4 linked regions of the Schizosaccharomyces pombe genome follow. The gene in region 1 interacts genetically with each later gene. Each region holds a gene or a part of one and is shown on either strand. Other genes may lie near its edges.

Region 1 (5,143 bases):
TCCAATGTTTTCATCATTCAGGTGTTCGTGTGGCTGTAATTGAAACAGGAATGGGTGGTCGTTTGGATGCTACTAATGTATTTGAAGAACCAGTTCTTTCAATAATTTCACGTATTTGCTTGGACCATCAAGCATTTTTAGGAAATACCTTAGAGGCTATTGCTAAAGAAAAGGCTGGGATCTTTAAAAAGAATGTTCCGTGCGTGGTTGATGGGTTAAATGAAGTTAACGTCCTAAATCAATTAAAATTAAGTGCAGAGGAAACGAGGGCACATCCGTTTTATTTGGCAAAAGGAAAATCAGGTGAAAACAAAAATGAGTGGATCATCAATACTCCAAATTGGGGAACCAATACTTTTAGTACTCCATTGAAGGGGGATTATCAAGGACAAAATTTGGCTTGTGCAGTAACTGCTCTCGATATCCTTTCTTCGTCATTTTCAATTATGCTTCCCCATGTACAAAATGGTGTAAAAAATACATCTTGGCCTGGAAGGCTTGACATTCGTTCGGTTCCTTCTTTGGGTGATATTTTATTTGACGGAGCACACAATAAAGAAGCTGCGATTGAGCTTGCGAAATTTGTAAATTCGCAAAGACGTGAGCACAATAAATCAGTATCATGGGTAGTAGCTTTCACTAACACAAAAGACGTTACTGGGATTATGAAAATCCTTCTTCGTAAAGGAGATACCGTTATAGCGACAAATTTTTCTTCAGTAAGTGGGATGCCCTGGATTAAATCAATGGAACCTGAAGTTATAAAAAACAGTATATCTTCGGAATCTTCTGTGGAATGCTATACTGCAGATAATCTAACAATAAGCGAAATTTTAAGACTGGCAAAAGAGAAGAATTCCAGCGTAATTGTATGCGGTAGTCTTTATCTTCTAGGAGACATGTATCGTTATTTAAAACTGGACGTATAGCCTCTAAATCGTGCTGTTTACTTTCATACGTTTTTCCTTGTTTGACAAATTTATCATATGAATTGTCACAGAGTGATGAATTGTGCTCTAGAGAATTTTGTTCCATGACTTAAAAACTAAAATTTACTTTCAAAGAAGCTTGAATGATGCTATCAGGTTAATAGAAAAAAGATAAAAGATTTATATTAAGCTTTGATGGGTTTTTGGTGTGAGTTAAGATATTGAGTTAGAAATTGACTTATAGATTACGAATACATTAGTTTAAATACTTGGTGCGCTCTGCCTGCAGCCTTAATAAAACAGATATTATTTTCATTATGTGACTAGATCTTGATTTACAATTCTTACAAGATAAGGTGGGATAACTGAAGCATATTTAGCACATTGAAAGATTCCGCCTTTCTTTTAATTATTATTAAATACTGTCGTAACTGCAATAAAATAAGTAAAACGCTGAAATCGTTAAAAAAATATACCCTTCTATCTCACAGGTTGAGCTAATCAAGTTGATATACGTATAGTGCAAATGATAGGCATTTAAAAATTAGACTAATATAGTTTAACTATTACATTAATTTTAAAATACACAAACATTTAATTACTGTTTTAAAATTATACTCAGAGTCTAATTAATTACAGATTTACCGTAATCCATAGCGCTTGTTATCTATCATTACAGCAACAATGATTGCTACGCACTAAAATTCGTATACGTTTTAGATATAACATGTATAATCCACCAACATTTTTTGAGTATACAAAAAAGCAGAATGGCTGAACAACCTTCTCGGCAGCAGAGTATGTACTGTGGATGAGTTTAAAATACAAAATAGTTGACCAGTTCCAGTTCTACAGACGCAGTACAATTCATATAAGTCTCGGTTACAACAAATTGCGCAGAAGATTGTCGATTTGGAAACCGATGCTGACGAACATAAGTATGTGATACATAAAAAATTTTTAAATTAAATACCTAACTAAAAAGACTTGTTATGGACACATTAAACTCCATGGATAATAATCGACGTTGTTTTCGAATGATCCATGGAGTGCTAGTGGAGAGAACGGTGGGAACTGTTGTGCCTATCCTTAAAACTACTCAAGAAGGGGTAAGGAATTTTTTTATTTTGACCCTTTATTGTCAGATGAATTTTTGGTCTTGATGTACTAATCAAAATATTAGATTCAAACAGCCATGAATGGTTTGCTCGACCAGTATAAGCAGCTCGAAGCAGAATTCCAAAAGTTTCAAAAAGACAATAAAATTCAAGTCGTTAGACAATAATACAGATGACTCCATTAATTGCGCAGTTGCGTTCATTGACACGCCGACTGTTTTTCAAGTGCTTTATCTTCGGTTTAACATTTTTTTCCTAAACAGAGGAACAGGGATAGAATCCAAGAGTATTTGTGTCATCAAATATCATCACTTTATGTTATTAGAGTTTCACTTAAACCGTAGACTTAATACATGTAGTAAGTTAGGTAGAACTAACTTGATTGCGTCTCTACCTCCTTCACCTCAGGCGGAGATGTTTGAGCAACTTCATCAACAACGTGCTGGGAATCCTTATGGTCGACTTCGTTTGATTTTTCTTTAATTACATTATAGCACACAATTTTTTCAGAGGGTATGTCCTCTTGAATTTTGAAAGCAGGTAATGAGCATAAACCGGGAACGTGAATAGTCATTGAATATGCACAGCTTGAAACTTCTTGATATTGAGTAATTTCAGGAGTATCCGAATTTGTACTGCATTCATAACTTAGAATTACGTGTCTTGGTCTCTTAGTAATGTCGCACATAGTCCCATTTCGGAAAGTTGTTTGCAAATATGCTTTACCTTCAACAAATCCAATAGCCCAATTTTCTTCCAAATTCTTTTTAGTTTGAGTGTTAGGTGCCGTACCAAGTATATACATAGGGTTAGCAAGGACTTTGTCAGAACCTTGCTGCGGCTCCAAATGATATTGACGCACGTGTTGACCGTAGACATAGTCATAAGTCCAATAACCACGATTCTAATACAATGATTAGCTTGAAAAACACTACATGTACTAAAAGTAGTCATTAATTCTAAAATTTTTATGGACATGTCAAATAATGACCTTTTAGTAAAGTTGGTTTGTTTAAGACAAATAAAACAATTAGAACTCGTACCTCGATTAAAAATACATTAGCAAGCTCATTGATTTTTTCAGTCCCTTGTATCCGCAATTCTTGTAAATCATAGCTTGGTTCGGTTGTGCTATTTTGTTTTATAAGAGACGCATTGGGATATACACAAAAATATTCATGCTTTCCAGCATAGAATAATGACGATAATTTAGTTTTTTCAGTTTTTTCTTTAATTGAGTCAATGTCGCCCTCTAATATTGACACATTACTCCATTCAAACGAATATTTAGGATATTCATATGCCTACAAAGGAAGTCCGTTAGAATTGAAGAGAAATTAGGTTCAAGAGCATACATCATTCCAGTCTAACAAAGAAGCTAAACATATTGGAAAAATAAAAAACCCCACAAAAGCAAATGGTAGCACCATAGTCCTAACTTTAGATGAGCCGATTGCAGGTAGAATCAAATGTGGAAACATACTTGAACTGAACATATGCGTTATATCACAGTATACCGAAGTGCGCAAAGCTCGAACAATTTACAAAAAGCTAAATACGATAGTGCGTAAAAAATAGTAGTTTACATTAGAGGTAAGTGTTACACGAGATTGTTAACATGAATGAAAACGAGGGCATTTCACTTGGTGAATTAGGTACGTTGCTACTAGAAGCATTAACTCCTCCTTTTAAATTTTAAACTAATAAAAAACTTTAGAAACAAGACCGTTTTCAGAAGGGATAACGCGGTTTACAAAAGAACAAGCAGCTTATTACGCGGAGCAAAAGGAAAAGGATCGCATTAAGGCTCTTAAAATTCCTTATGAAGATTCCAAAGTTCGTGAATATCTGCGTCGTTATGGTGAACCCATAACTTATTTTGGTGAAGATGCCTTAGCCCGACGCCAAAGGCTTCAGCAATTAATGATCGAAAAGTCCCTAGAAGGAGACAATCCATTAGATGTAGACCAAGGGGCTTCTGAAAATATTGAGAAGGAGACGTATGTTCAAGGAAGTCACGAACTATTAGTTGCTCGTAAAAAAATAGCTCTTTACTCCTTGGAAAAGGCAAAGCTCAGATTAAAAAAAGAACGGGAAATTTCCGAGATTCCAGTACCTGAAATTGTACTTTCCGGAAAGTCTTCAATCGAACATTTACAAAAGGCTGAATTGATGGGCTCTCAGATAGGTGGTGAGCGACCAATAGCCATTGTTAGATTCAGTAATAATGGAAATCATTTTGCTAGCGGAAGCTGGGGTGGCCAGGTCAAGGTGTGGAATTCTGATAACCTCTCAGAGGTTCAATTGTTTCGCGGCCATACCGACCGAGTTTCTGGTTTGGATTGGTATCCTCTATGTCAGGCATGGGATGCAGATTCTGAGCAGCTGACTTTAGCGACTGGAGCCGCAGACAATACTGTTTGTTTGTGGAAAGCAAGTCAATCTACTCCACTGTTACGTTTGGAAGGACATTTGGCTCGTGTTGGTCGAGTTGCTTTTCATCCAAGTGGTGATTACTTAGTTTCTGCCTCATTCGACACTACATGGCGGTTATGGGATGTACATACAGGCGTTGAGTTGCTTATGCAAGAAGGTCATTCGGAAGGGATTTTTTCAATCGCCTGTCAGCCAGATGGGTCGTTAGTTAGCTCAGGTGGTAATGATGCTATCGGTCGGATTTGGGATCTTCGATCAGGCAAATCAATAATGGTATTAGATGAACATATTCGTCAAATTGTCGCGATGGCTTGGAGTCCAAACGGCTACCAACTTGCAACTTCTTCAGCCGATGATACTGTGAAAATATGGGACTTGCGGAAAGTGTCATTGGCACATACTATTCCCGCACATTCTTCTCTTGTTTCAGACGTTCGTTATATTGAATCAGGTGTTAACAGATTCATCGCTACGAGTGGTTATGATGGCTGCGTAAAGCTTTGGAACCCGTTGAACTGCTCATTGATTAAAAGTATGGTGGGACACGAAGAAAAGGTTATGAGTGTTGACGGTTACGGAGACAGATTTATCTCATCAGGATACGATCGTACAATCAAGTTATGGTACCCTTAAATTTGGGTGTGGCAAACGGTTTTGGTA
Region 2 (5,155 bases), on another chromosome or scaffold:
AACAAAGGCATTTTGGCAACGGCTGCTGCCCAGTGCAGAGCGGCGTGTCCAAGTTCGTCAATGGGGACATCCAAATCTAATGAGTCCGACAGCTTTGCTTCTAAGGCGCTGGAATCAGCAAAGTTTACATCTAAAAAGATAGAGGTCAAAATGTCTTTTGATGTATGATAATCCTGCATAATATTCTGATCAAGTGGAGGAAGACTAGAAACCAAGGATACAAAAGAAAGTGAATGGTTCAACCTTGGCGTATCTGGAAACAATGAAGAGGCCTCATTATCATTTAACTGTGAGGAGGGATGTAAGTCTTCATCACTGACATCAATTCTATGCCGTTTTAAACGCTGTTCAAGGATAGGTGGAGAGGTGGAGAGGTAATTGTTAGAGCGTTTAACATTTTGGCTATCAATTTGAGTTAAAGGTAGTAAGAAAGAGGAAGAAGGTGAAGGTGAACTCTGCATATTGTTTATAGTGTGCACCCCATTCTTTGAAGACTTGCTAGGGTTTGAAAAATTATGATTCCTCAAAGGGGATCGCGTATTAAAAGAAGAAGTATTTAAATTTTTGGAGATTGAAGAACTTTCGATTTGTTGCTGCTTTGAAAATTTGGGGAATAAATCAAGATTAAAAGAAATTAATGGTTGTAAAATTTCATAAACCCCATATCGCTTTGCTATAGAAATTGCTCGATCATATGGAACCCATACTCCATCTATTTGAGGGTGTTTGGAGTCAACATTCTCATAGTCCCCACTCTCGATAATATCATCCAATTCTTTGGCGTTTTCAGATGACGAAGTACCAGCAAGTCGAAGTATTTGAGAGATATTAAAGTAAGAATCTGGACATCTTCGAAGAGCAACATTATCCCCACAGCTAAGCTCCATATATTTCATGCCTGAACATTCGACAGCATACAATTCTACGGGTCGGCCATCACGTAAAACTTGGGAGTTAATAAAAATCCTTGAACTAGAGTCTTTTAAAGTAGATGAATCGTTTAGTTTGTTTATATTTCTGTTTGAAAGGGGTTGTGATGGCTCATCCTCTGGGCGTTTTTGGTATGAAAAAGAATCGTTCCCCAGCTCAAACTGGCGAATAAAATTGGCTGAAGCCATTATAGTATATTAAAATAAAAAATGCCGAAAAAATATCGAATTTTTTATAAAGGGCAGCACGTTTTTCTCGAAAATAAGGGTGCTGAACTGACCATGAAAGAAGACTCGAGCTCCTCACCACTTGGTTTGTTTAAGAGATTGTGAATTCCTTTCTTTTTCAAATAAATAGAAGTAATTTTTTCGGATTTCGTGTTATACACAAATTCGCTCTGGGAAGGTTCACGCAGCTGTATACATTTGGTACGGCGTTAGACCGTATTCGAAGTAACGATATATGAGGCTTCCTAAGGAAAACAAAGGACTACTTCAATGTTCGTTTCTTCTGGGGGTTTTATTTAAAGGCTACTTAGAAATGGAATTCTTTCTCATTTCAAATACCCTGTTGAAAAATTTCCAACTTTGCTATACTCAACGACTTTACTGTTTCGGGATATGCAAAAGAGACGGATTTTTCAGTCAATTCTAATTTTCCCTAAATAAAAGTTTTGATGTTGAGTATGAAAAAATTATATTTTTTTATTGGTATTTCTAATACAAAGTAGCTTCCAACTTCCATCTTTTTCAAATAGGTAAATAGATAGACATATTAATGACGTCATATATAGAACGCGACGCGTCGAAATAAATTAAATTTAAGGATAACGTGTTCCTTAAAAGAAATGTAAATAAGCACCAACCAGCATGGAACTAAACTGTCAAGGAAACAGGTTCACTGTGGTGCAGCTTACTTAACAGAACGTTTTCCACTTAAAAACACTGCATTCTTTCGGAAACCTTCATGATCAATACGCCCTGCACGAGAGAAGGGAAACAAAATTGCAATCACTTTGGCAGTGATGAGTCCTGTCGATACTGGGCCAAATTTGTTACTATCACTGTAAACTAGTTAATATCTCTATAGAAGAAAACGAAAAAGTAAAAAAACAATTGTTGGAAACCTACATAGAATGAAATTGTTCATCGCCTTCGACCCACACATGTCCCTCGGGAACGGGTACTAATGACAACTTTTTAGGAGGTCTCGTTTTCATGATATCGTATTCTACTCCTAGAACTCTTTTTACCAATAGTTCCTCTGGGTTTTCTGGAGAGCTTGTTGCTTATTAGTAACGATAAAAAGGGAAACTCAGTACCGAAAGACCCTGCAACGATCCAAGAACTTACCGTAGTATAACTACATCTCCTCTTTTGTAATCCTTATTCCATTTCCAAAGTAGTACCCTATCTCTCTGCAGCATGTTTGTCTCAGGGTTAAAGGCTGGTTTCATAGATCTACCTTCAATTGTACCGACGCTGACTACATGTTGTTCAACGAACATTAATACGGGTACCCATAGGGTAATTCCGACTAAATTTTTAAAAAATACTGATTTAAAAGATTGATTTCGAACGAAAGGGTTTGCCATTTTTTGAGGACAACTGCTAAACTCTCTCCTCTAAGAAGTTTATGATTAACCGTCTGTATGTACCTTAACAAGCATGGGAGTTTCCGTAATTAATAATTAAACCAGGAAAACGTATTAATGAATTTTATCTGATAAGTGTCAGGCTTCTATTCCTGATCGTTTTTGTTTCAATACGGTGTGTTGCAGTAGGTAATTCAAAACCACATTAAGCTTAGCTTCCTTCTAATATTATTATAGCGAAAACTATTATTTACTTAAATTAACAACCATGGTAATAGATACAAAAAAACAAATAAATATTCTGTAAAGAAAAATGTTTTATTTTAAGAATTTATTTCCATTTCGTAAACGTTGTCCAACCAAGCTTTTAGCTACATTTGTTATTGTTAGTAATTTTGCAAACAAACAGGCTATATAGTGTGGAAAAGTAGTCTAATTTACTAAGCACCCACTATGGCTTTTTGAGCAAATACTTACCTCCCCATAAGAAACTGAAACACAATCAAGTTCATCTCGGGAAATTAATGCGATGGCTTGATTTATACCGGCATCAAGCTAATGAATTAATAAATGCAATAATGAGAAAAATGTAAAAAACTTACCTTTCCCAGGCGATTCAGCACTTGATATAAATCTATCACAGGACACTCATCTTCATCTATCTGATGGAAAAGATAATCTCGTAATAAGTAGATTAATGAAATTTCTTTTTCTCGTGCGATAGGATATTCACGAGAAGCTCTATTATTATCAATAATAAACATAATCTTGCACAAAATATTAAAAAATCGACCGTGTTGGAAAGCGTCCGAAATTTTTCTCTCCATTTTTTCGCATTCCACGTATGGTGAACTCATTATAGGGAAAAAACTTTCTATGTGATTTTGCAAAAACAACTCCAAGTTTTTATCCTCAGGAACTTCCGATACAAAGTATAAAACCGCTTTATAAAATTCCCTCGAATATGTACTATAAATTGCTCGTGCGGCTGAAGACATGTCCATATCAGTTCTTCCAGTAGCTAAATTCGCAATCACAACTCCAAGATCTACAAAATCCTGCTTCTTTCGTTCCTCTAATGGAGGCTTGTTTGACACTACCAATTCATAGTCAGCGCAACCACTAATACGAATCCTTTACACGTTAGTATAAGTCATTAATGAATTAAAGAAATGTATTCCATCAAAACATAAAAAATGTTCAAAAAAAAATACCTTTCAGTTTGATCCACAAGGATTCTCGACGGAGTAAGCTTGTTGCAAGCAAACCCGGATTTATGTAGATATGACAAAGCGATAGTAAGCTGGAAAAAATAATTCCATAACTCTCGTTCTGGAATTTTTCTATTTTCCTCCAACTTGACAGAATTTTTAGAATTGTTTAGGTAGAGCTCACCAAGGGTTGTAGTACACGGATAAAAATCATAAATTAATAGTAACGCTTGATTAATTAGTAAGGTTTAGTAAAATAAACTTACAAGAATCATGAAATGTATCAGTATGAAAAGCAGAATGGAATGGTACGATATTTGGATGAAAAACATTTTTAAGCTTGTCGACAGTCGACGTATCAATATTAATTGAACAGTCTTTTAAATATATTAGCAATTGCAATTTATGAATCTGAAGGTTACCTTGGAGTCGTTTCAAAACGTAAGCATTCCCATCGATGGAAGAAGTGCATTTGTACGTCCAAGAAGAGAATCCAATTTGCTCTTTATACCGATAAAGCTTTGTATTCAGTGGCGCCAAAGAAGTATATGAAGATATAATAGACGGAAGCGCTAAAATATTAGTATAAAGGAAGCTAGACACAAATTAAGTACCTGAAATTGTCTGACGGGATGCCTCGCTCTTTCTCTCGATTCTTTCTCTAGTCGTATCATCAATAAATAGACCGTTTACAGTTCTTTCATAAGGAAGTAAAGTTGGCATGGGAGAAGGTTGCGGATTATATAAATTGTACAATGTCTGTTGTTGTCAACAACAATAATAAGGCTTTAGACTTACGGGTTTAAACTGGTTTTGACGAGTATAATAAACCCCAGAGTCATCATGAAAAGGCTCATTGACCAACATAGATGCATTATTGTAAGGATTAATAGCCTAAAATTACAGTAAAATTAGTAAGAAAAATATAAGCTGTTAGCCAGACATACATGACTACCTGGTGAAAGCGCAACAGGGGTACGCTCTCTAGATAGAAAAAGAGATTTTTCTTGTGATTTAGGAACAAATACTGCAGCGCCAGCAGCCTTTACTGGTAAAGCGCGAACAGGTTGAAAAGAGGCCGACGCAGCATTCAGTTTTTTCTTACTAGCGAGGTTAATTATACGTACAAAGCCTTAAAAAAAATCATACACTGAGTATTGCTCCAAATTCTCTGAAGAAGGGATGAAAGGCTACAAACAATCGTAAGCAAGAAGCTTCTCTGAAGTTAAGAGAATACGCCTATACTTACACCATCATGTCGAAAAGCACATCCATTTTCTGAATGCTTACAGGATCCATAAAGTAAGATATTTCTACATAATGTTCGTTTAGCTTTGGAATGGTCTATTAAAAATGGTGGTCAGTCAAGTTTTGCTTTGAATTTCCATTTACCTTTCAAATCAGTCACTGACGGAGACCT
Region 3 (5,192 bases), 3.1 Mb from region 1:
AAAATAAAAAGAAAAAGAAAAAGCAGCAGAAGAAGAAGAAAGTCACTGGAAAGCGTGATTTAGATAATCAATCTTCTGATAATGAGAAATTGGAGGGACTTGAATCAAGCAAAAACATTGATGATGATATTGATGAAATAGAAAAGGCTGCTGCTGAATTAAAACTTAAATATCGTGAGCAAGATCAGGTTGAGCATGTTGCTGGTGTCGAAGAATCTGCTACTATCCCGTTAGATAAAGAACTTGATGAAAAATTGAATAAGTTATTGGGTGTAAATATTAGTATGTTAAATCCTGATCTTGAAATACGTAAGATTTTTGGCCGCATCGTTGAGAAACGTTCGGTCAACGCTCGACATGATAACCTGCGGAGGAAACGCCATGTTTTAGTACAGCCTCAAGAAGGATGGCCTCCTTTAGTAAGATCTGGACTTGGAATGAAACTTACCGGTCAGTCACAAGACTTAGAGTGCTTTTTTGAAATCACTCAGAGTCGTGCTTACCAGGAAGTTCAAGAGACATTCGAGTATTACGTGCAAACCTATGACCCTAATAACCTACTTATGCTTTTACGCTCCCATCCTTTTCATATAGACACGTTATTACAAGTTTCTGAAATAATAGATCAGCAGGGCGATCATGAACTGTCAGCAGAGCTTGTTGCCCGCGGTCTTTATGCTTTCGACAGTATTCTTCATCCTAGATTTAATCTTGCAACTGGTGCCACGCGGCTTCCTTTTGCCATCCCTTCTAATCGGCGTCTTTTCCTCTGTATTTGGAGATATTTACAAAGTCTACAAAGCCGGGGTTGTTGGAGAACCGTCTTTGAGTTTTGTAAAGCTTTACTGCAGTTCGACATGTCAGACCCCTACGCAATTGGTACTTGTATTGATATATATGCACTTCGTCGAAGAGAATTTGCTTGGATAATTGATTTTGCGAATTACCTGGAAAATTCAAACAAAATTTCGGACACGCCAAATATGTTATATTCGTCAGCACTTGCCATGTTTTACGTACATGGTGATACTACCGACACACGAGCGAGTATGCTTGCCGCCTTTGAACGTGCACCTTACATGCTAAGTGAATTGTTGGACACTTTGAATATCTCTTTCACAAAATCCTCTATTCCATCCCCTCAAGATCCAGTTCAAGAGTTACATTCTGCTATGTATGCTTTATATGCTAAGGATAGCTGGTCTGATCCTACGGTATTAGCATTCATTAATTCCATTCTTGAAAAAGAAACCGTGACCCTGCACGATGTAGAAGGACAATTCGCAGAACTCACTGAAAATCTCTCTAGGCGTGTTATCCTGTTAAATGAGCAAAGCTTGAGAAAATTTCTACCACAGAGAATCTTGCAAGGAACTATTTTATCCTTTGATCCTCTACCTCCTGATACATATTTAAGCGAGTCACAAGTCTTTGGTAGAGATATATCTCGTCGAATTGCGTCGTTCTTGTCCGATTATTTATCCAGAGCAAGAGAAGTTAATGAAAATGAGGAAGAACCCCCTGCTCATGAGTTTGATCTTCCTCCTGCTGAACAATTGCTACAACAGATTGAATCGGAGGTTGGTGAAGAATCAGAAGATGGAACTCCGGTGATGACCCGACTACGTTCATTTTTTGGAAGCTTGTTTACATCAACAAACTCAGAGACGGAACCTGCAGAAGAAAGCACAGAAGAGATGGGTCAAGGGGATTGAATTATTTCAAAAGAATTGTTTAATGAAGTCCTTATTTTCATACAACGAAAGCTATTGTAAAATTATCAATAAAAATTAGATGAACTATTTAAAAATAATACGAAAAACGATGCAAACGCTACTGTAAATACGGTAATCTTAACAAACATGTACAATATGATTGATTAGCAGAATGATTGTATATGCAAGGTACTAAAAAATGTCAAAGCAATTCTTCAAGTATTCAAAATGAATTTAAATGCAAGATATAAACTGCTTGAATGAAAAGCAAAAACAAACAAATCAATATACACCTATACTTTATTGAGGGGGAGGATTTCCTTGGTTATTGTTATCAGTGTTGCCATTATTGTTATTGTTCATAAAATTGCGAGCCAAATTTTGCAGTTGGGGGTTATTGGCAAGAGAACTCAAGTCAGGCATACCTCCTCCAGATTGAAAGTTACGGGCCATGTTGGCAATATTAGGGTCATTCATAATATTATTCAAAGCACCCGATTGCATCAAGTTACGCGCCATGTTCATAACAGCTAAAATCACTTATTAACAATGAATAATGTATACACTAAAAAACTTACCAGGATTGTTCATCAAAGAACCTAAATCAGGCATACCTCCTCCAAAAATGGATCCAAGATCAGGAGCGGCACCAGCAGAAGTGCGAGCTTGGTCAGCTCCAGAAGTAGCGGATGAATCCGATGGTTGATTCAATTGCTTGTTAGCAGCTTCCAAACCTCTCTTTAAAACCTCATTATTGGGATCAAAGTCTAAGCCCTTCTTATAAGCATCAGCTGCCGCTGCTGCATCGCCAAGTGACAATTTGGCACGACCAAGTCGTCCAAAGGCTCGAGCATGATGAGGATCTAAACTTAAGCATGTTAAAGCATCTTCTACAGCATTTTCGAATTGCCCTAGCTGATTATACGCGGCTGCACGATTGGAGTAGTAAACTGGAGAGGTAGGATCGATTTCTATGGCTTTAGTGTATAAATCCAAAGCTTTTTGATAATCCTTTGCCGCAATGGCATTATTTCCTTCAAGTTTTAATTTCTCAGCCTCTTCTTTATTAACATGAGCAGTGGAATCCTCCTCCACTGGATGCAGTTTTTCGTACTCCTCAAAAGCAGCAACTAAACGATCCCCTGACTTGGGCTTAATTTCTTCTGGTTTGATTTTAAAAGAATCTTGAATACATTGAGCTGATTTTGGTTAGATTATCTTAAATGGGGTTACACATACCAGCAACCTCCAAGCTTTCCTTTTCTTCTTCAGAAATCGAACCGGTGGTAATAGCTTGCTTCAAATAGTCAATAATAGCCGCAGTAACTTTGTTAGAGCTCATTTTCCTAATCGTTTTAAGAACCGATTTTTTTCGTATTACTGAAAGTATATCGTGAGATGCGCGAAGGGCAAAATTATTCCAAGCGCCGTTATAGATTTTTATATACGTAAACATGCAAATAATAAAATGAATTTTTGATTCCTAATTATATTGCTATTAAAATAACATTAGATAACTATAGTACCTTTAATGTGAATCATGAACTGTAAAATACTGATATGACAAAAAAAAACAAAAATAGATAGAAACAACAGACAGGAAGCAAAGAAAAAACTAAAAACATATATTATTCCAGGTCCCAGCTTTCTGTCTCAGAATTATATTGAAGGAGATGGAAGGGTATTTGCAACTGTTCAAGGTACGTACCAATGGAACATGGCTTGGTGCGTAAATCATTAGCTGATGTGCGTAAAACAGACTGTGGAACTTCTTGAAGCATGGTTGTAAACTTCAAAGAAAAAACAGGAAATAGCACTTCGACTGCTAATTGCGCAGATTTTCGCCAATTTTGGATTTTTCTTTCAACCACCTGTATCTGTTTAGAATTTTTGTCAGTGTCAAGAGCGAGCTCTACAACGGATAATTGTTCTTTCAAGCCACCAATTTCTAATTCAAGGTTACGGATTCTGTTAATTAGTTTGCTATCCGTTTCACTTGGAGCAGTAGCCATTGAGATAGGCTTGGCACAATACAGCCGTTCAGGTGAGGAAACAGTTAAGCGGGTTCGCGAAATCTTCGAAATCGGAGGATGAAATGGTTTAATGAGAGCCTTTCGTACAGACATTTTATTAACATTCTTAAATGGCCGCGTAATTAAATCTTTGTTGACCCCTGGGTGCATAGTAGATTTAAGAGATGGAAGGCTTCGATTTATCAAAGAGGTAGAAAGACAGACATTAGAATAGTTTGGAGTATTGTTCTCATTGGACAAAATAGTATTTTTATAGGTGTTCGGTTTAATAATATTAGAATGGTTTGAATGATTATTCCCAATTGATAAAACACTGTTTTTGTATGAATTCGGCTTAGTGACATTAGTACGATTTTTGCTATTATTTTCATTCAACACAGCTTCGCCTCTGTTGGAAACCATTTCAGTTTGTACTTTCCCATACAATCCAGTCCAAACATTCTCCTTCCGAGATGCTAGAAGATCGACCCTCTTATGCTTATGGGAGGTAGCAGACTTAGGGGGAGTGTAATCATAGTTAAATTTAATACTTGAATTAGGAATATGCGTGGCTTGTTGTTCAGACTCATTGATGCAAGTTTCATCAAAGTCTTGATCTACACCGTAGGGATTCAACAAATCTTCTTGATGTTGAGATTCAGCTAGTGGTTGCTCAAGTCGACGTGATTGTTTCCGTTCTTCTATTGCCATTTTGTTAATGGTAATTAATGAATTTTCGGAAAAAGTTGGCTCCATATCACTAGGTAATGGAGAAATGTCAAAAATAGTCGGCTCACTAGACAATGGATCTTGACCAGTAGAATCAGAAGTTAAATCAGGGAAGTCTTCATCCTCTCTTGATGGCTCAAAATCAAATTCCTCAGAACAACCATTGTTCCAATCGATATGATGAGGTAACGAGGGCTCTGTATATATACTAGGTTTTATGGTAACCGGAATGACTACAGCATCGAAAACTTTTCTCGGTTTCTTAATCCTTGGAGACAGAGTAGGATATATTTCCTCCTTTTCAGGATACTTCCTCCAGCCTGTAGGTCTTCCCCTTCTTCTTGGCAATCCTTCCTCGAAGTTCAAATCTTTATTAACATACGAATACTTTCTTGGCCTTCCTGCCCTATGCTTCACTCTCGTCATTTCTCTTTTCTTCAGCATAATCAGTGCGGCTTCAGAGTCTGCAAATGCAGGGAATAGATTAGTATCGTCTGTAAAAGCCAAAGATTTAAATATAGGATCGAGATCACACAGCTGGTTCCAACCAAAATCACTTTCCGAATAATTTTGGGTTGATAATTGAGATTTACAACTTTGTGAGCTTAACGGTTCAATAACCTGATTATTCTCGTTAGGAAGAGTAACCAGTGGTTGATTTTCAGATTTATCTTCAAAGTATGCAAAGTCTTTATCATTCGAGGACACATGGCCGCTAATCTCTGGGTGGTCATCA
Region 4 (7,304 bases), 500 kb from region 1:
AAATGATACTTGCGACCAATTGACAGGAGCGAAAAGAAGTTAATTCCGTAATATATAAAAAAGTAGTCTTGGCTTTAAATAGGCAAGAATTATATCTTTAAATCTTATTGCTATACTGATTTTGAACCAAAGACACTTGTGTTTGGATGTTGGCGAAAAGTAAATTCGTAACACCAAACACAAGGCACACTGGACAACTTTTATAAATATCCACTAATTTCAATAGTAAGCAATCTCAACAGCAGACAGCTTTCGGATAACATGCGTTAGATACGTAAAGCACTCAAATAGAAACATATAATTTACACAGGGATTTAATGCATTTACTAACAAATTACCATTCTTAAATATGACTGATTTCTATTTCAAAATTCAATTGCCTGCCTTGCGACAAACTATCCATCAAATTTAGTACTTGCATTTTTTTCATTGATCACAATTTATACCCCGTATGTATAAAATCTTACTAAAAGGCATCTTAATTGTCTGAGTAAGAACTTTGGTTAAGGGTAGACGGTTGAGAGCATGCACTTATTTGAATCACTTTATGGCATTTTCTTTATAATAGTACAACATTGCAGAAGTGAATGACATCTAAAGCTACTGCTACTATGATTTTGCATTTGTCTTACTTTAACATTATCTACCATGCGTTTCCAACGAATCCTATTTTAAAGTGTAAAGTCAGTTAAATGTTAACTGTGTGTACCTTCCTTCCTTCGAACGATCGCATTTATTGTTGACAAACATTACTCAAACTTTCAAATGACTTTTATTCAAAAAATTTTAAAATTCTACCAAATATTTGTAGGACAGAGAAAGAAAAAAAAAATATATATGATTGTAGGTAAATCCTTAATTTAAAGAGGTTAAGTGCGTTCTAGTATCTGTATTTTCAAATAGTAAACATAAGTAACATGTGACCTGTTTAATTTAGCATTAAAATGGAAAAAGTATAGAGCAATTAGGGTGCCTTGTAAATAAAAAAATTGCAATTCAATCTATAATTTTTTTATTAGTATCATTTTGCTTATTTTTTGAGTCCGTACGAAAGTTACGTTTTGCCTTCCCAAATTGCCGCAATGGTAAATTTTCCGCGCACAATTTAATCAAGGCTATTATCACTGAAAAAATCTCAACTGCAAGAATTCTTTTTCCTTCGGCCAACACTTGCTACGCAAATTGAATTGCCATTTGAGGCAGATTTTTTTGTTTAAATTCGAAGAAAAAATCCCAATATTAAGTCATGTCTGAGAAACAAACTATCAAAGCCCTTCCTGCACACAATCCTACTCAGGTGAAAAAACTTGGTCCCGTTAGTGGATTTTTGTCAGGTGGTCTTGCAGCTTGTGGTGCTGTAACACTGACAAATCCTTTCGAAGTTATTAAAACGCGTTTTCAACTTCAAGGTCAATTGACAAAATTGGATCCTTCTAAGCGAATTTACAAAAGCGTCGGTCAGGCATTTTCTCTAATCGCTAGACATGAAGGTATAAGAGGTCTTCAACGAGGCCTTGGTACTGCTTATGTTTATCAAATCTGCCTCAATGGCTGTCGTCTCGGGTTTTACGAACCGATTCGACGTACTCTGAATACGTGGTTCCTTGATGATCCCAAGGGTAATAAATTAGCTATTAACGTTGCAAGTGGCGCCGGTTCAGGTTTATGTGGTGCCTTGTTTGGCTCTCCCTTTTTCTTGGTTAAGACTCGCATGCAGTCGTATTCTCCTAAATTTCCCGTTGGCCAGCAGTATGGTTACAAGCATATATTTAATGCATTCAGTCGTATTATTAAGGAAAATGGTGTTAAGGGTTTGTTTGTTGGTGCTGATGCTGCCATTCTCCGTACTGTCTCTGGTTCCTCTGTTCAGCTTCCTATCTATAATTGGGCTAAACGCATGATTGAGCATTACAATCTATTGGAAGAGGGTATGATCAAACACTTAACTGCTAGTGCTGTTTCTGGATTTGGTGTATGCTGCACCATGCAAATTTTCGATACTGTTATGACTCGTATGTACAACCAAAAGAACAAGGAGCTTTATAAAAATCCGATTGATTGCATCCTTAAAACAATCCGCTCTGAAGGATTCTTTGCCTTATATAAGGGTTTTGGTGCTCACTTGGCCAGAATCGCTCCTCACACAATTTTCTGTCTTACCTTCGTGGAGCAAACCAATAAACTCTTTTTGAAATTCCAAAAGGATTAAGTTGTTTTTTCAAACGCACGTTTCTTTATTTATAAATAATTTTGGTACTAAACCATAAAAACCCCCAGTGGCTTTGGTGTATATCAAGTGAACAGTTAAATTGTAAAGAAATGATGTTTGTATCTAAGAACGATTTTTATTTACATTCGTTGTCTCGTTACTTATTTCCACTCTACTTTCATTTAAAAGTCGATTTTTCTTTTCAAGCTGTTTTTGATCAATCGGCATGTTTTTGTCTTTTGTAATATATATCCGTCAGTTATCTCAATATATGTACGTATTTGTTTTTGGATTTCAGGCATCTGGCTGCGTTTGTATATCAACTTACCTTTTATTTAGTTATTAATATACTTATTTTCTCTATAATTAAAGATTGGAAACATTACCGCTTTGTGTAGTCACAATGGATAAATTTCTTCATTTTGCGTCGTTTTTATTTGAAATCTTTACATTTCGCCAACAGTTATATGTTTTTTAGATAAATCATGTTAGTTTAATAAAATATTTTCTGAACTTCTTATCGTAGTATTCGTGTTCACTAATTTGCTCGTTCCTGCTGACTCTAATAAACGGATCGGACACCTCTATTCAGTACAACATAATAAAATCTGAATATATCCGTTACATATAAAAATAATCTGTTTGTTTTTAAGGATCTATTAAAGGTTTAGTAAAAAAAAACCGCCTTACGGTTTAAACTGCTGTTTGGTAAATTCAGTTAAAAAAAAGAAAAAAAATGACAAGTAAGTTAAAATACCTTGCTACTCATCTGCTAATTTTTTAGTTCGTTCATTGAATTTGTTTATCATAGACAAAAAGCATCAACATAAATCTAGCTTGAGCAGTTTTCAAAACTGTAAGTTGGGTATTGACGCAAGTTTTTACTTGACTCAAATTATTCATTCCTTTACCCCACAGGAACTTCAAAGTTTGGCAGTAAATGGTGAATCCGAATATCTACAACACAGAATTTCGGAATTCCTTGAGCAGTTGAGAACTGAGAATATCACACCCATTTTTGTTTTCAATGGTATACCTCTTACCTTTGAAGCCAGCAGCCAGCTGGAAGTGCCGGGAAAGCAAAAAAGTCATAGTGCATTGACAGATTTCGAAGCTTTTGATCCTTATGATGCAAATATTCAGCGTAATATGTACCGCATGGACGCAAGTGGTCCTGCGAATTACGGCGAAAGTAAACCAACACTTTTGTACACCAATCAGCGAGATCATTTAGATCGTCTTTGCGACCAGGTAAAGTTTTACTTAGATCAATGTAATGTGGAGTATTTTGTCGCCCCGTATCTGGCTATGGCTCAATTAGCATATTTTCTAAACGGCACATCTTCACCTTACATCGATGCCATCTATGGTTCCACGGATCTGCTTCTTTTTGGTGTTAAAAAATTTATTACTTCTATGAACACATCTTCTAACGTTAAAATCTCATCTGACCCTTCATCCCCATCAACTCAAACAACTATCAATTCGGCCGCTAAAAGTTCATTCACATGGTTAGATGGAAATGCCCTTCTTCAAGACACGAACGGCCTTTCATGGCAGCAGTTCATCGATTCCTGTTTATTGTGTGGTACTGCTATTTCTCCTACATTTCCTCAGATTGAGGGTACTTTTCTAATTAAAAGCGCAATGGAGCTTGTTCGTATGTTTGGTTCTGCGTATCGTGCAGTCCTTCATTTTGCTGAAATCTTTCCCCAGCCCATTTTTCAAGATTATCTTCAACAGTACAAAAGGGCTGTTTGTTTCTCTAAGTTTGGAATTGTGATGGATACAAAAGGTCTCACTTTACCACCAGTTCCCACAGAATCTGTTCCTAACGACATAAATATATATTTTGGCACCCGTCTTCCCAACGAGATTTATTTTTACATTTCTCGCGGTCTTATTCCTTGCAAAATGATAGGTGCTTTAGTATCTGGATGTTTTAGTGATCCTGTTTCCATACTTGAACAACATATTGGTGACAAAGCATCACAAGGAACATTTTCTGGTGCTAATTCTGGTTTAAATCCTGGTCGCGACAATGCAGCAGCTGTAGCGGCTGTGGATCAACGGCGATTTGTTGACGATTTAGAAGAAATATGGTCGCAGGGGCTAAATTTATTGACCCAACCGCTTAACAGATTTTACCAAGCCAGAGATATTGTTTCCCTTCATGGCCATAATCAGCAAGCTTCTTTGAAGGTAATGCACAGCTATGATCCTCCTTTGTATAATGATACGAGAGCATGGATGATATACGAAGAAAACTTACCGAGTTATTTATCTAGTAATTTTTTAAAGGAAGAACCCGTTGTATTATTTGATCTACTACGTGCTTTGAACGATCCGGTATTTGTAAAGAAAAGCTTTTGCACTGAAGGTAATATTGGCATAAAAAACCCTCCCAAGCATCCTCTGTCTTCTACTGCGGAAATCGTCTTAAGTTCTTGCTACAGATTTTTGCAAATTAGATCTTTCGTTTTAACATCTCATCAATTAACATCTTGGGGATGCCCCTTGTTAAAAGCGTTGGAAAATTGTCACTTACAGAACCAAACTTCCGTTGTTGTTTTATTCGAGCTTCTTAGACTAAGACAATTAAAAGAGCCCTCTTTACTTTCCTCCTCAAGTGCAAGCATCGCCGATTTATCCATAACTTCTGCCACAGAGTTCTTGGCAAAGGTTGCAACATTTCTACCAATAAAACAGAGACCTGAAGTTAGTAAAATTTCTATAGTTGATGAGAATTTATTACAGTTTTATCAGCTACAAACTAGCTTCGGATCCAACTTGAAGGAACTCATGGCCATGATTCTTGCCTCGGTCATCTTGAACAGAAACGTCGACAAAAGCAAAATAGATCCTAAACTTATCCGAAAAACGTACGTGTTTTTTTCTCTTTCTCCTTTTTTGTTTATATTTAAAGTTTCTAACCAATTTAGCTTACCTTTTCAAAACATAAATGGTAGCCTTGTCTCAGGTTTTGTTGTCAAGCGCTTTTTTGAAATCATTTCAAAAGAGCAAGAAGCCAGTTCTCAACAGGAAAACATCCAGAAGGCTTATGAAATAATAGAAAAGGAATTCCCAACCATTGGATCTGCGGAAAACCATATTGCCCAGTTTTTGGAATTCTGGAAAACTTTTATGGAAGGGGTTAAGGAAGCAGAAAATACAAGTGCCATTGGCAAGCTCGTTTTAAGTAAACTCTTCCTTACTAACCAATGGATATTTTCTCTTGGCTTATGAAGACCAGAACTAGTAGTTTATGAATAGAAATAAATTAGTGAGAGAAGTATCCTTCTTTTAGCGGGAGCTTTTAACACATTCGGCACAGTCATAATGCACATTTACATGAATTACTTTCCCTCATACTGTCGAAGCATTTTCAACATGCTATACACTCATGTGATTACACTTGATTATTGTTGAGATATTATTTCGAACAAGTAAAGTATTGTTAATATTAATATTCAACTACATTGTTTCTTCCCGAAAAAAGGAAGGGAAAGAAAAATAGAGAAGCACAGCTTTGAATGAAAACCCAATGATGTTTAAACTTTTTTATAGATATAGTTTAATTTGTTCTAAAGGATACTATATTTATTTTTAGCAATACACTTACCTGTCAAAAAATAACTTATACCGTTGTTTTTACACTATAGTATGGGAATAATTTTTAACTTATTTGATAAGTTCAAGCGGATTTTTTAGATTTTAGTTTATGTGTACTGGCTCACTCACAAAAAACCGAATTCGCATCAGAAACATAATTTTACCTAATCAATTTCACGAATTAAAAACCTTGTGCTTACAGAAAGACTTGCTTAGTTTAACCACTTACAAGCTGGATAGTATAATTTTGTTTTAAGATATTTACTGTATAGATGCTGTTTACGACAACTTGCTAGCTTTGAGAATCTCCAATTCTCACACTAACATCTAATAATATTTGTCGATAGTTAACAAAATTCTGACAATGTCAGTTTTTAAATATAAACGGTAGTAGTTGAAGTAACTGACAGTTAATCAAAATCTCTGTAACTTATTGTTTACATTGCATATTGCGAGACTTGACACACTATTTAGAAAGTCTTAAGCAAGCGTAAGCCATTACTGTGGAGTTCATTAAGCTTAACTTTAATGAACTGCTATTAGTGTAGTCTCATTTTGTAAGGCGTAGCACAATGTCCCGTGTGGTTCAGCAAGCTACCATCAAATAATAGTTTGATTTTCCATTTGGTGTGAATCTAGCAACAACCAACATTATTTGTTCAGATGCACTTATGAAGTCTAGTGGTATCGCAGGCGATTCCAATGGATTTGAAACAAATTTTCTAAATGAAACGACTAATCGAGAAGAAGATGGTGCATTTAATTGGAACGCTGCAGATGATGGCACTAACGAACGAAGAGAGGATATTCATGTACGATTTCAGGATAGCGCTCTTCCATTAGGAATTGATGAAAATGAGCTTGATGAAATTGATATAAATGGGGACAGCAAAAAATTGGATTCTGTTGAAGTTGACGAATCACACGATGTTAATTCGCCATCAGATAGCAGACTGAAATCATCTTTCAAGTCGGTATTAGAACTGACAGCTAATTCTATGGTTTCAGTGTTAACTCCATCTACCAAAACTGAGCAGACCTCGAAAGGAAAGGGAAAAAAGAAGAAAGCACATGTTTCCTTCCTAGAGGGACCTGTGGAAGAAATCCCATTAGATGATATTGAGCCTACTTCTCCTCGTGAGGCATCACCTGTGTTCAATGGGCGTCCTCCAATTCCTCCGGAATTTTTAAAGTCGCGGCATAAAGAGTTTACAATACCAAATCCTTTGCAGTTCATTTCCAATTTCTTATCCAACTTGTTTTCGCGTGATACACGGTATTTGAAGTCGAGTCATGGTCGAATAATTATCATAAACCCTTACGATGACTCCTCCCAAATTGATGAGCGTACAGGAAAGCCCTATATGCAAAACAGCATTGTTTCGTCTCGGTACAACAAATACAATTTTGTCCCTTTACAGATCATTGCTCAATTTTCAAAAACTGCCAACTGTTATTTTTTGCTGATTGCTATTATGCAAAT

The links.
Region 2: mutations in pfd2 (region 1) and mmp2 together harm fitness more than expected from each alone (negative genetic interaction), as found in Schizosaccharomyces pombe (one large-scale study listed by BioGRID).
Region 3: mutations in pfd2 (region 1) and sgt2 together harm fitness more than expected from each alone (negative genetic interaction), as found in Schizosaccharomyces pombe (one large-scale study listed by BioGRID).
Region 4: mutations in pfd2 (region 1) and mkt1 together harm fitness more than expected from each alone (negative genetic interaction), as found in Schizosaccharomyces pombe (one large-scale study listed by BioGRID).

What each region holds. Positions count from the first base shown.
Region 1 is NC_003424.3:512,132-517,274, forward strand, and holds pfd2 (prefoldin subunit 2), read left to right. Parts: upstream 1-1,670; 5' UTR 1,671-1,699; coding exon 1,700-1,727; intron 1,728-1,776; coding exon 1,777-1,867; exon of another isoform or gene 1,868-1,914; coding exon 1,915-2,038; exon of another isoform or gene 2,039-2,112; coding exon 2,113-2,214; 3' UTR 2,215-2,420; downstream 2,421-5,143. Other genes in the region: fol3 (folylpolyglutamate synthase), read left to right, coding at 1-929; putative misfolded glycoprotein sensor Yos9, read right to left, coding at 2,421-2,951, 3,091-3,351, 3,403-3,477; rna4 (Prp4 family U4/U5/U6 small nuclear ribonucleoprotein complex subunit), read left to right, coding at 3,666-3,702, 3,765-5,116.
Region 2 is NC_003423.3:2,762,473-2,767,627, forward strand, and holds mmp2 (endopeptidase catalytic subunit), read right to left. Parts: upstream 2,712-5,155; 5' UTR 2,525-2,711; coding exon 2,283-2,524; exon of another isoform or gene 2,211-2,282; coding exon 2,061-2,210; exon of another isoform or gene 1,994-2,060; coding exon 1,843-1,993; 3' UTR 1,657-1,842; downstream 1-1,656. Other genes in the region: DNA-binding transcription factor, MBF transcription factor complex subunit Cdc10, read right to left, coding at 1-1,118; PAN complex subunit Ppk26, read right to left, coding at 2,848-2,895, 3,002-3,079, 3,127-3,658, 3,739-3,964, 4,002-4,112, 4,158-4,307, 4,350-4,494, 4,534-4,629 and 4 more.
Region 3 is NC_003424.3:3,625,830-3,631,021, forward strand, and holds sgt2 (SGT2 family TPR repeat-containing protein), read right to left. Parts: upstream 3,127-5,192; 5' UTR 3,058-3,126; coding exon 2,955-3,057; exon of another isoform or gene 2,915-2,954; coding exon 2,294-2,914; exon of another isoform or gene 2,246-2,293; coding exon 2,016-2,245; 3' UTR 1,846-2,015; downstream 1-1,845. Other genes in the region: protein Rqc1, read left to right, coding at 1-1,715; DNA recombination mediator Swi2, read right to left, coding at 3,344-5,192.
Region 4 is NC_003424.3:1,014,517-1,021,820, reverse strand, and holds mkt1 (post-transcriptional RNA stability regulator Mkt1), read left to right. Parts: upstream 1-2,767; 5' UTR 2,768-2,945; coding exon 2,946-2,952; exon of another isoform or gene 2,953-2,993; coding exon 2,994-5,091; intron 5,092-5,151; coding exon 5,152-5,455; 3' UTR 5,456-5,718; downstream 5,719-7,304. Other genes in the region: oac1 (anion transporter), read left to right, coding at 1,247-2,209; dnf1 (P-type ATPase), read left to right, coding at 6,493-7,304.